Linked DNA regions of Caenorhabditis elegans. The protein of the gene in region 2 purifies or fractionates together with the protein of the main gene of each other region. This does not show direct contact. Each region holds a gene or a part of one and is shown on either strand. Other genes may lie near its edges.

Region 1 (7,864 bases), on a different chromosome or scaffold from region 2:
CGCCGTAAATCTACCCCCAGATATGGCCTGGCCTAGTTCGGCAAAAACTCTTCCATTTCAATTTCTGAGGGAAGCCAGACACATCCGTGAATTTTTGACCATATCCACGTTTTTCTTGTCAAATAACAATAGCATATTCAACAGGACAATTGACAATTGAATTGAGATATGAGAAACAAGAAAAAGTAATTTGACTCCTGACTTCTTCTTCTTCTTTTTCATAGAGTGGATGGTGGATAGTGACATACAAACAGGGCACACAGTTTCGTGTTGACACTCTCTCTCTCTCTGGACAGAACAATATAAGACACGAACATGAAAAGGAAGATGAACAATGTTCCTGCAAAAAAAAGTTGAAGCTTGGAAGAGTTGGAGAAATTTTCACCAAATCAGCAATTGCCGGAAATGAAAATTTCGGGCAAATCGGCAAATTGCCAGGATTGAAAATTTCCATCAAATCGGCAATTGCTGAAAATGAAAAATTTGGGCAAGTTGACAAATCGGCAAATTGCCGGAATTGAAAATTTCCGGAAAATTGGCAAATCGGCAAATTGCCGCAATTGAAAATTTCCGCTAAATTGGCAAATTGCCGGAATTGAAAATTTTCCGGCATATCGGTGAATCGCCAAATTGCCGGAATTGAAAATTTCCGGAAAATTGGCAAATCGGCAAATCGCCGGAATTGAAAATTTCCGCCAAATTGGCAAACTGCCGGAATTGAAAATTTTCCGGCATATCGGCGAATCGCCAAATTGCCGGAATTGAAAATTTCCGGTAAATTGGCGGAGTTGAAAATTTCCAGCCAATTGGCAATTTCCGAAAATTAAAATTTCCGGCAAATCGGCACATTGCCAGAATTGAAAATTTCCGGCAAATTGGCAATTGCCGAAAATTAAAATTTCGGGCAAATCGCAAATTGCCCGGAATTAAAAATTGCATTTTGCCGATTTGCCGAAAAAACGACAATTGCAGAAAATTGTGGTTTTGACATTTTTGGAAATTTCAGAATTTCAACATTATTTGTTTTAAGTGGATCCGTCTTTTTAAAAGTCTCTTTAAAAACTTTCGCAAACGGCAAATCGGCAATTTGTCGAAAATGGAAATTTTCGGCAATTTTGCTCGTTTATTACATGTTTAATCCTAAATTTCGGTATATTTTCAGTCGCTGGGAACACAAATTTCATAAAATTTCGCTTTATTTTGTGTTAAAAACTAAATTTTCTCAGAAAAATTCACATTTTAAAGGAAATTCTTCAATTTGAACTTCCCGCTATTTTTATACTGTCTGTTTTATCAACAGGGCGCGTTTGCACTTTTCAACTTCTGGCTTTTTTCGCCTTTTTTAATCCATTTTTTCACATTTATTGATCGAAAATCTTGCGGATAAAGGCTATTTTTTCAAGATTAAATTAATAAAAATTTGAAATTACTTAAATTGAATCCTAAAATCTGTGAAAATCCCAAAATAATACTCTCAAATCGGAGCCAAGCCGTCAATACATAGAAAAAATCCAAAAAACCTTAAAACTGCTGATTTTTCCACTTTTTTCTACAATTTTCCGACACTTTTATAGGTTTTCCATGCCCTAAGTACAAATATGAACGGGATTATTCGTTTTTCTCCCCTCTCTGGCACTCTTGTCGTCTCTCGCCCTCTCACTTACCCCCGCTGTCTCGTTTTCCCATTTCTCGGTGAAATTTTGAACCAATTTTTTGGTTTTTACACTTATTTTGACGATTTTTCCAGTATTTTCGTGTAAAAATTGAGATTTCTCGTGTTTTTAACGTTATTTTATGTGGTTTTAAGTTGTAAAACTTTTTTTTGGGAATTTATCGATTTTTAAGGTAATTCGCTGCAAAAATGACGAAATCAAAGTCAAAAAAGGAGGATTTGATCCCGGAAATCGGGGATTTCACAAAGTTTTTCAAAAGGTTGGCATAATTAATCGAAAAAAATATAGAAAAAAAATTTAAAAAATCAATAAAATGTTGATTTTTCAGTCGATCAAAATTTTCCGACCAAATAACCGATGTTATTTCGAATGTCTACGAATGGTCGACATCACTGGAACCTTCAGAAGACAATCTTCCACTTCCATTTGTTTCGAAAAACGAAGAAGTCGTTTGGAGTTATCTGAAGCATCAGAATAAGCAATTAGATGGAATTAATAAGAAATATAAGGTGCTTATTCGCGGGATTTTGCTCGAAAAATCCTAAAATAATCTTAAATTCCGAAAAAACACAGAAGAAAATCGAAAAAATCGATTTTTAAAGTTCTATTTTTCAATTTTGGCGAAATTCCCTCCAATTCCCTCCAAAATGAAGAACGACCAATCAGCGATTAGCACCGCCCACTTTTGAACCAATAAGAGGAAAGGGGCGGAGTTCGAAGGTGCTGATTGTTCAGTACAAAAAACGGAGGAAAAACGAAAAAAAATCGATTTTTTTTTCGAATTTTGGTTAAATTCCGTTTCCGACCAATCAACGATTCGCTCCGTCCATTTTTGAACCAATCAGATGAAGTGGGCGGAGCTCAAAGACGCTGATTGGTCGTGCAGTCCTTATTTTAAAGGGAATTCAACAAAATTTTAAAAAATCGATTTTTAAAACGTGATTTTTCAATTTTGGTTAAATTCCGTCTTCGACCAATCAGCGATTCGCTCCGCCCACTTTTGAACCAATCAAATGAAGTGGGCGGAGTTTGAAGGCGCTGATTGGTCGGGCAATTCTTATTTTGGAGGGAATTCAAACAAGTTTGAAAAAAATTGCGTTTTTAAATTTCAAACTAAATTTTCGGGATTTTTGAAAAAAATTTCTAAAAATCCCGAAAAAAATGTCCTAAAAAATTTCTAAAAATTCCACAATTTTCAAAAAATCTAGAAATTTTTAGCAATTTCCGAAAAATTTCTAAATTTCCAAAAATATTGAACTTTTTTTGAAAATTTTTGAAAAAAATCGAGTTTTTTTTTCTGAATTTCAGGCTATTTTTTGGAGTTTTTTTTCACTTTTTTTTTCCTCAAAATTGCTTGAAAATGCTCCGAATTTCAGGGATTTCTTTCCGAGTTGATTGGAAAATCGCATATTCGGGTGGCGGCGAAAATTCAGGATTCTGAAGGTTCGGAAGATGGTTCTGATGGCTCCGATGGCGGCTCCGAAGAGGAGCTCGATGATGATGAGGAAGAGCTGGAAGATGAAGAGCTCGAGGATGAAATGATTGACGATGAGGATGAAGCCGATCTTTTTAATTTAAGCGAGAGTGATCTGAAGACGTTGGACGCTGATTTGAAGAAAATGGAAGAAGAAGAAGCCGGAGAAGAGAAAGAGGAGGTGGAAAAAGCCACAGAACAACCGAAAAAATTCAAGAAATCCATTGTGGACGATCAGTTTTTCAATCTTGACGAGATGCACGATTTTTTGCAAAAAACTGAGAGAGCTGGAGGCAAAAAGGCCGCTCAGGATGAGGAAATGATGTTTGAGGATGAAGTATGTACCTGGATGGCTGAAAATCTGCAAAATTTGGATTTTTATGAGCCGAAAAGTGCCAAAAAGTGCCCAAAAACAATTTTAAAAATACACACTTTTTTCCACAAAAAGTGCGCGAAGAAATTGCAAACTCCGCCCCCCTTTTTCCCGGCCAGAATTCGTAATTTCGAAATTAGAGTGCAATCGCGCTCCAACGCCAACACAACACAAGTATTGCCGGAATTGTTAAATTTTCGGCAAATTGGTAAATTGCCGGAATCGATAATTTCCGGCAAATCGGCAAATTGCCGGAATCGATAATTTCCGGCAAATCGGCATAATTGGAAATTTCCAGCAAATTGGCAATTGCCGAAAATGAAAATTTTGGCCAAATCGGCAAATTGCCAGAATTGGAAAGTTCCGGCAAATTGTCAAGTTGCCGGAATTGTTAAATATCCGGCAAACCGGTAAATTGCCGGAATTGAAATTTCCAGCAAATCGACAAATTGCCGGAATTTTAAAATTTCCGGCAAATTGGCAACTTGCCGGAATTGAAAATTTCCAGCAAATCGGCATATTGCCTGATTTGTGAAATTTCCGCCAATTTGCCGAAAATGAAAATTTTGGGCAAATCGGCAAATTGCCAGAATTGAAAAGTTCCGGCAAATTGTCAAATTGCCGGAATTGTTAAATATCCGGCAAACCGGTAAATTGCCGGAATTGAAATTTCCAGCAAATCGGCAAATTGCCGGAATTGCAAAATGTCCGGTAAATCGTAAATTGCCAGAATTGAAAAGTTCCGGCATATCGACAAATCGCCGGAATTGTTAAATATCCGGCAAACCGGTAAATTGGCGGAATTGTGAAATTTCCGCCAATTTGCCGAAAATGAAAATTTTGGGCAAATCGGCAAATTGCCAGAATTGAAAAGTTCCGGCAAATCGGCAAATTGTGGTTTTGCACAATTTTTTGTTGTTGGAAACTTCATATTTTCTTGTTCCAAACGAGACCCAATAGGCCAATTAGCGATGGAGCGCGATTGCACCTCAGTTTTCAAAAACCGCCTCGCTGCCATAATATATTAATCTCGATGAAAATTCCCTAAGAAAATGTGTGTGTGTGTGTGTTTTTTTCAAAATTTCAATTAAAAAAAAAAAAAAATAATAATTTCAGGATAGCTGGGACGGAAAAACCGACTACACGTATGAGGACTTTTTTGGATCTCGTGAGACAGTTGCTGAAACCGAAAAAATGAATGGAGAGAAGAAAAAAATTGAAAAAGATAAGAAACGGAAGGCTGGAGATAAAGCTGATTTATCACTTGATGATGGGTTTGTAGTTTGTAGTTTGGAGGAATTGGAGAAAAAAACGGAAAACCACAGAAAAAAACGAGAAAATCCCCCAACCAATCAGCGTCTTCAACTCCGCCCACTCCACCTGATTGGTTGGAAAGTGGGCGGAGCGAATCGCTGATTGGTCGCGGTCTCATTTTGAAAAAAATTCGGCCAAAATATTGAAAATCTGCGTTTTTTAGTTTTCAAAAAATGTAGAAATTCAGCAATTTCCGAAAATATTTAGAAATTTCTAAATTTTTGGAAATTTGAAATTTTTTTTTCACTTTTTTTTCGCCAAAATTGATGGATTTTTCATTATTTTGCGATTTTTTTTTTCGTTTTTCTCCAAAAATACTGTAAAAATGTAGAAAATCACTAAATTTATCCGAAAAATCACGTTTATTTCAGCTGAAAAAATCAAAAAATATTTTTCGAATTTTCTAGCTGAAATAAATGTAATTTTCCGGATAAATTTAGTGATTTTCTACAATTTGACACTATTTTTCAATGAAAATCGTTGGAAGCACATGGTGCAACATGACAAAATTGTAAAATTGCCGAAAATAAGTGAAAAAAATTTAAAAATCCCAATTTTCAATCTTTTTTCTAGGAACGCCGAAAAAATTGCGAAAAAAGTTGCAAAACGCGATGTTTTGAATTCCCTCCAAATGAGAACTCATCGACCAATCAGCGACTCGCTCCGCCCATCTCTGGACCAATCAGACGAAGTGGGCGGAGTTCGACGACACTGATTGGCCGGGGAGTTTTCATTTTGGGGGAATCCAAACAAAAGTGAAAAAATCGATTTTTAAAAACGTGATTTTTCCAATTTTGATCAAATTCCGTCTGCGACCAATCAGCGATTTGTTCCGCCCTTTTTTGCACCAATCAGGGTGTGTGGGAGGAGTTTGAAGGAGCTGATTGGTCGAAATGCTAATTTTGCGAATTTTTCGCAAAACTCGGAAAAATCCAACTTTCTGAAACTACGACCAATCAGCGATTTGCTCCGCCCACTTTTGCACCAATCAGGGTGTGTGGGCGGAGTTTGAAGGCGCTGATTGGTCGGGGAGTTTTCATTTTGGGGGGAATTTGAAATTTTAAAATCCAAATTTAAAAAATCGCCTTTTTTGTGATTTTTCCGAATTTAGGACTATTTTTTAATAAATTTTTAAAGCGAAAAATTCAATTCAAAAATGTTCTTCCAGAAAGAACAAAAAACGCGTTCGTTTCGCAATGGATGAGGAACCTGAAGAAGAAGAAGTTGAAGACGAGGAGCAAGAAGACATTAATGATGAAGAAGAGCCCCCAGAGGATGAGCCAGTGCTCCTCGGAGCCGACCTCGAAGAGCCGAAGGAAGAATCGGCGTTTGCCAAGCGTCAGTCCAAGATGAAGGAACGAATCGCTAAGCTTGAGGAGGAGAATTTGGCTCCAAAATCGTGGGAGCTCTCCGGAGAGGTTGCCGCCGATCAGAGAGATCAGAATACCCTGCTGGAGAAGCATGTGGATTTTGATCATGGAGCAAAACGTGCTCCAGAGGTTACCGAAGAGTTTACAGGTACGCTGATGATGGCTGGAAATTGGAAATTTTAGAAGAAAAACTATGGGAAAAGCGAAAAAAATCGGGAAAATCTCACTTTTTGAAACTGCGACCAATCAGCGATTAGCTCAGCCCATTTTTGGACCAATCAGATGGAGTGGGCGGAGTTTGAAGGTGATGATTGGTCGGGGAGTTGTCATTTTGCGATTTTTTATCAAAAAAAATCGGGAAAATCCAACTTTTGAAACTGCGACCAATCAGCGATTAGCTCCGCCCATTTTTGGACCAATCAGATGGAGTGGGCGGAGTTTGAAGGTGCTGATTGGTCGGGGAGTTGTCATTTTGCGATTTTTTATCAAAAAAATCGAAAAAATCCAACTTTTGAAACTGCGACCAATCAGCGATTTGCTCCGCCCATTTTTGGCCCAATCAGATGGAGTGGGCGGAGTTTGAAGGTGCTGATTGGTCGGGGAGTTCGAAAATTGAAAAATCACGATTTTTTTCTTTTCAAAGTTTTGAATAAAACAATTTTTTCGGCAGGAAATTAGTTTTTTGAAAAGTTGCAAAAATTTTATAAACAAATTTATTAAAATTGTATTAAAATTAACACAGAAAAAGAGGCGGAGCCTAATTTCGCAACCTTGCCGCACGGTTTTTCCTCTTTCTTTTTGTTGGTTTTTTTCCAATGAAGTTTCGATTTTACTTGTTTTATTTTCTTTCGAAAAACGAAAATAAAACAATTAAATTCAAAAATTGATTTAAAAAATGAAAACCGTGCCACAGGGTTGCGAAATTAGGCTCCGCCTATTTTCTGTGCGACAATGCTGCTTTTTGTAAAATTTACGAATGGAAATCGCCAAATTTCAACCATAAAATAGGCAAAGAGAGCCTCCGTAACACGGAAAAATTGGCGAAATTTGAGATTTGAAACCGTCGCACAGAAAAAGAGGCGGAGCCTAATTTCGCAACCTTGCCGCACGGTTTTTCCTCCTTTTTTGACCGGTGTTAATTTTAATATCCTCATAATAGCATTTTCATTCGAAAAAGAAAATAACATAATTAAATTCAAAAATTGATTTAAAAAAATTAAAACCGTGCCGCAGGGTTGCAAAATTAGGGGCTTCGCCTATTTTTCTGTGCGATGCTGATTCACGACGGATTGCTCGTAAAATTTCAACCATAAAATATGCAAAAAATAGTATTTTTTTCGCAAATTTCGAGGCTTTAGCTTAAAAATGCCGTTTTTTTTTTCAAATTTTAAGACGAAAACTGCCTCTTTTTCTGTGCGATGCGCAAAATTTTATTTTTTTCTAAATTTCAAATATAAAATAGGCAAAAAATAGCTGATATGACATGGAAAAATTGGAAATTTTCGAGATTTTAGCTTAAAAATTCCGTTTTTTTTTTTTTTTTTTTAATTTCAGCCATAAAATAGGCAAAAATAGAGTTTTTTTCCAGACCGCCTCGAGTCACTTATCAAGCAACGAATTCGTGATAAAGCCTGGGATGATGTGATTCGAGTGAAAAAAG
Region 2 (4,594 bases):
GGATATGGTCGGGGTACTGTAGGATTACTGTAAGTCAAGTACTGTAACTTTAAGGTTTTTACAGTACTTGTAAGGTACTGTAAGAATTTTTTAATTATAAAATTTTCCGAAAAGGTTTTTTTTTTGAAAAAGCTCAATTTTTCCATATTTTCTCTAATTTTCAACGGTTTTTTTTGTACATTTTTTTTGCGATTTTTCAACAAAAAAAAATCGAAACCTCTCCTCGTGAAGTACAACACAATTACCTCCAACAACCATTCTTTGAGGAGTATGAGCTCTGCTCAAAAACCCATAAACATCAGAAACTCGAATTTTATCCATCGAATTGTTGCCAAATTTCGGATATCCTATAGTATTATTCTGAAAAGCCGCTTGATGAATCCAGTCAGTAAGGAGAATTTCGATGGCTTCAATTCGATTCGGTAGATCTTGATTCTCGTAGGAAACTGTTAGTTTCGCCTGTTCGAGACTTTGTTCGTCAAAAATTGGCTTCCAAATAGTGTCGGATAGTACGTGAATTACAGAATCCACTCCGTCACGATGGCAGCTCGCCGCGTACATCATTGTGTCACGTGTACTCTGACAATCCACAATTCCACTGTTTTCCTCGAGTTTTGCAAAGACTTCGTCGCGGCTTGAGAACGATTCCGATGACTGGAAATTTTGCAATTTTTTTTGGGAAAAATTAGTTTTAACAAATTTTCGAGTTTCAAAAAAAAACTATTTTGGAAATTTTTAAAATTAAAAAAAACCTTACAATTAAAGGAGGACTAACGGTTCGGACGATTTTGAACGTATAGACCCAAAATGTTCTCAAATGAACGAATTTCGTGATGAAACTGCTCAAAAATTTTTCAAAAATTTTTTATGGCGGTTCAAAATTTCGAAAAAATTACACTGATTTTAGCTAAAATCTCGAATTTTGCCTATTTTTCGGTGTCACATCGGTCCGAAGTTGACTTTTTCGGAATTATCATCCTTTATTGCATATATTGGTAGTTTATCTCATTTAATTTTGTTGATTAAGGTACAATTAAAGCCGATCGGTAACCAATTTCGACGATTTTTGGTCACCTATCGGCTTTAAATGTACCTTAATCAACAAAATTAAATGAGATAAACTACCAATATATGCAATAAAGGATGATAATTCCGAAAAAGTCAACTTCGGACTGATGTGACACCGAAAAATAGGCAAAATTCGAGATTTTAGCTAAAATCAGTGTAATTTTTTCGAAATTTTGAACCGCCATAAAAAATTTTATCCGTTAGTCCACCTTTAAGTTATTCTTGAAACTATATATATATGATATATACTATGTATACTGGATATATAGTATGTATATATATTATGTATATAACGAATTTTTCCTAAACTACCGTAACCCTACAGTACTCCTACCGTACCACTATTGTACTACTACAGTAACCCGACTATATATGTTTCAAGAATTTCTTAATTGTAAGGGTTTTTTTTTGAAACATTTCAATTTTTCCGTATTTTCAGATATTTTCTCATGGATATATATATATATATATTTATTTATTTTTGTGAAAAATTAGTTTTTTATTGGAAATTTTTGGTTTGTGGGGGCAAATTTGGCTCTGTAGGGTTTTTTTTTCGAAAAAATTACAAAACTTGAGTTTTCTCGGGTCATTTTTGGATTAATTTTTACCCCCGTTCTCCAAAAAACAAAAACACCCAAAAAATGCGTAGAAATTCAAAATTTTCTTTTCAAAAAATTAAACTTCAAAAACAGAAATTTGCAACAAAAATTTTAGAAAAAAATAGGAATTTCTACTGAAAAAACTAAATTTTCCAAAAAAATAACTTTTAAAAAACTTGGTTGAGTAGCGAAATCTGTGGAAATATTTTTAATTTACTCCAAATTTTCCCCTGATTCCGAATATCTATGTGAAAAAAATTAAAATTCAAAAAAATTCCCCTGATTTTATATTGAAGCTTGAAATCGCCGAATTTCATTTGTACTTCGAAAACACTTTTTTAAATTCGCGCCCAAAAATATTCGCATGGAGCGCGCTTTGATTTTCTTCATTTGAATATTTTCTTCATTTTTCGCCGAGTTCAGTTTTTTTAAAAACCAGTTTCATTAATTTTTGTCGAATCTGTATCGGTTTTTCTAAGAAAAAATATTTTTCGACAAAAATTAATGAAACTGGTTTTTAAAAAAACTGAACTCGGCGAAAAATAAATAAATTATTTAAATGAAGACAATCAAAGCGCGCTCCAATGCGAATATTTTTGGGCGCGAATTTAAAAAAAGTGTTTCCGAGGTACAAATGAAATTCGGCGATTTCAAGCTTAAATATAAAATCAGGGAAATTTTTTTGAATTTTTTCACATTGATATTCGGAATCAGGGGAAAATTTGGAGTCAATTAAAAATATTTCCACAGATTTTGGTACTCAACCAAGTTTTTAAAAAGTTATTTTTTTGAAAATTTAGCTTTTTCAGTAGAAATTCCTGTTTTTTTTTAAATTTTTGTTGCAAATTTCTGTTTTAAGTTTGTTTTTTAACGTATTTTTTGAGTTTTATTGGTTTTTGGAGAACGGGTAAAAATTAATCCGAAACTGGCCCGAGAAAACTCAAATTTCGTCATTTTTTCCCGATTTGCATCATATTTTTCTCTAATTTTTCCAATTTTCCATAATTTTTCCTATCAAAAGCCTACATTATAAGCAAGTTTCTCCACAATTCTCGAAATTCCAAACGGAAAACCATTTTCATAGCGGCAGCCGCTCTCAATCGCGACGCCAACAGTCACAAAATCGCCGTAAGTGTCTTCTGTGCAAACTTTCAGGCCGTTCGGAAGTCTAGTAACCCTCGAGTTTCTTCCCATTGGCGGGCATCCTTTTTCTATTGATTTGGAGTTGTTTTCCATTGGCAGAGGCACGGAGAGCGGGAGTTTCTGCGCAATTTCCTTGTTATTTCGGACGGAAGCGCTTATATCTCGGCATATTTTGATGTAGGGGATGCTTTTCCGAAGGAGCATCTGAAAATTTAATGTATTTTTGATAAATTTCGAGTAAAAAACTGAAAAAATCGAGAAAAATAAATAAAAAATGATTAAATAAATAAATGTGTGCAATTTGTCGTCAAATGTGGTGTGCGGTGTTTGCGGACTTTTGGGATTCGAATAAAAATTATTTATTTTTTATCTATTTTTTATGTTTTTCTTTGATTTTTCTTTGATTTTTAGCTGAAATTATTGGATTTTTATTGATTTTTATTGTTTAAACGATAAATATTGATACTTTACAGTAAAAAACCGCAGAAAATATCGAAAAATCTCAATAATTTTTTTCTTTTAGTTTCTCATTGTTTCCATCAGTTTTTAGGAGCAATTCATATGTTTTCTTCTGCTTTACCGCTCGAATTTTAATGTTTATGGAGAAAACCTTATTTTTATATTTTTAGGCGCGCTAAAAAATGCTGCCCAATCGCCTACTGGCCAACCGTGCCTACTCCACAGCAATAAATCGATTTCGTGTGGTGGAAGTTGGCGCGCGAGACGGTTTACAGGTAATTTATCCTGGAAAATTGCAAAATAATTGCAAAAAATCCATTATTTTCTTAATTTCAGGCCGAAAAGAAGTTCGTTCCCACCGAAATCAAGGTCGAGCTCATCGATCGGCTCTCAGAGTGCGGATTTCAAACGGTAGAGACGACAAGCTTCGTCTCACCGAAATGGGTGCCCCAGTTGGCTGATCACAACGAAATTGTCAAGAAACATCGGAGATTTGAAGGTGTCTCCTACCCGGTTCTGGTTCCAAACGCCGCTGGCCTCAAAAACGCGGTATTTTATTGATTTTTTAGGGCTTAAAGGTGGAGTAGCGCTAGTGGGGATGACCGAATATCATAGTAAAAAAATTCAAAAAATTTTTCTAAATTTTATATGATTTTTTGAAAATTGAAAAAATCTCAGTTTTTGCCTAATTCCTATTTGAATTTCCGCCAATTGGATTTGTTCGATGGAGCGCGCTTGCACGTTTTTAAATTTATTTATTTTTGTTATTTTCCACCAATTTTTAATGTTTTCGGTGTATTTTTGCTCGAATTTTAGAGAAAAAGCCAAGATAAATGCAAATTTTCGATTAAAAAGCACGCTGACAGGCGTAAAAATGACAAAGTAACGCTTTTAAATGATTTCGAACCTGAATTAATTAATTTCACTGATTTACGCCTGTCAGCGTGCTTTTTAATCGAAAATTTGAATTTATCTTGGCTTTTTCTCTAAAATTCGAGCAAAAATACACTGAAAACATTAAAAATCGGTGGAAAATAACAAAAAATAAAATAAATAAATTTAAAAACGTGCAAGCGCGCTCCATCGAACAAATCCAATTGGCGGAAATTCAAATAGGAATTAGGCAAAAACTGAGATTTTTTCAATTTTCAAAAAATCATATAAAATTTTGAAATTTTTTTAAAAATTTTTAATCATGATATTCGGTCATTGTGGTACCATAGGCATGTTTTAAAGCAATTTCCCCACTAGCGCTACTCCACCTTTAAAATTGCAAATTTCTCAAGTTTCCAGCTCGCAACAGGAGTCGTCGAAGAGATTGCCGT

The links.
Region 1: the proteins of mppa-1 (region 2) and Y75B8A.7 fractionate together in Caenorhabditis elegans (co-fractionation; one large-scale study listed by BioGRID). This does not show direct contact.

Annotation. Positions count from the first base shown.
Region 1 is NC_003281.10:12,151,054-12,158,917, forward strand, and holds the start of Y75B8A.7 (U3 small nucleolar ribonucleoprotein MPP10), read left to right. Parts: upstream 1-1,845; 5' UTR 1,846-1,861; coding exon 1,862-1,932; intron 1,933-2,001; coding exon 2,002-2,182; intron 2,183-3,049; coding exon 3,050-3,484; intron 3,485-4,636; coding exon 4,637-4,794; intron 4,795-6,002; coding exon 6,003-6,352; intron 6,353-7,792; coding exon 7,793-7,864.
Region 2 is NC_003279.8:1,748,042-1,752,635, forward strand, and holds the start of mppa-1 (Mitochondrial-processing peptidase subunit alpha), read right to left. Parts: upstream 3,015-4,594; coding exon 2,694-3,014; intron 655-2,693; coding exon 246-654; intron 1-245. Other genes in the region: Y71G12B.10 (hydroxymethylglutaryl-CoA lyase), read left to right, coding at 3,452-3,544, 3,606-3,818, 4,563-4,594. UniProt on the Caenorhabditis elegans protein: Substrate recognition and binding subunit of the essential mitochondrial processing protease (MPP), which cleaves the mitochondrial sequence off newly imported precursors proteins.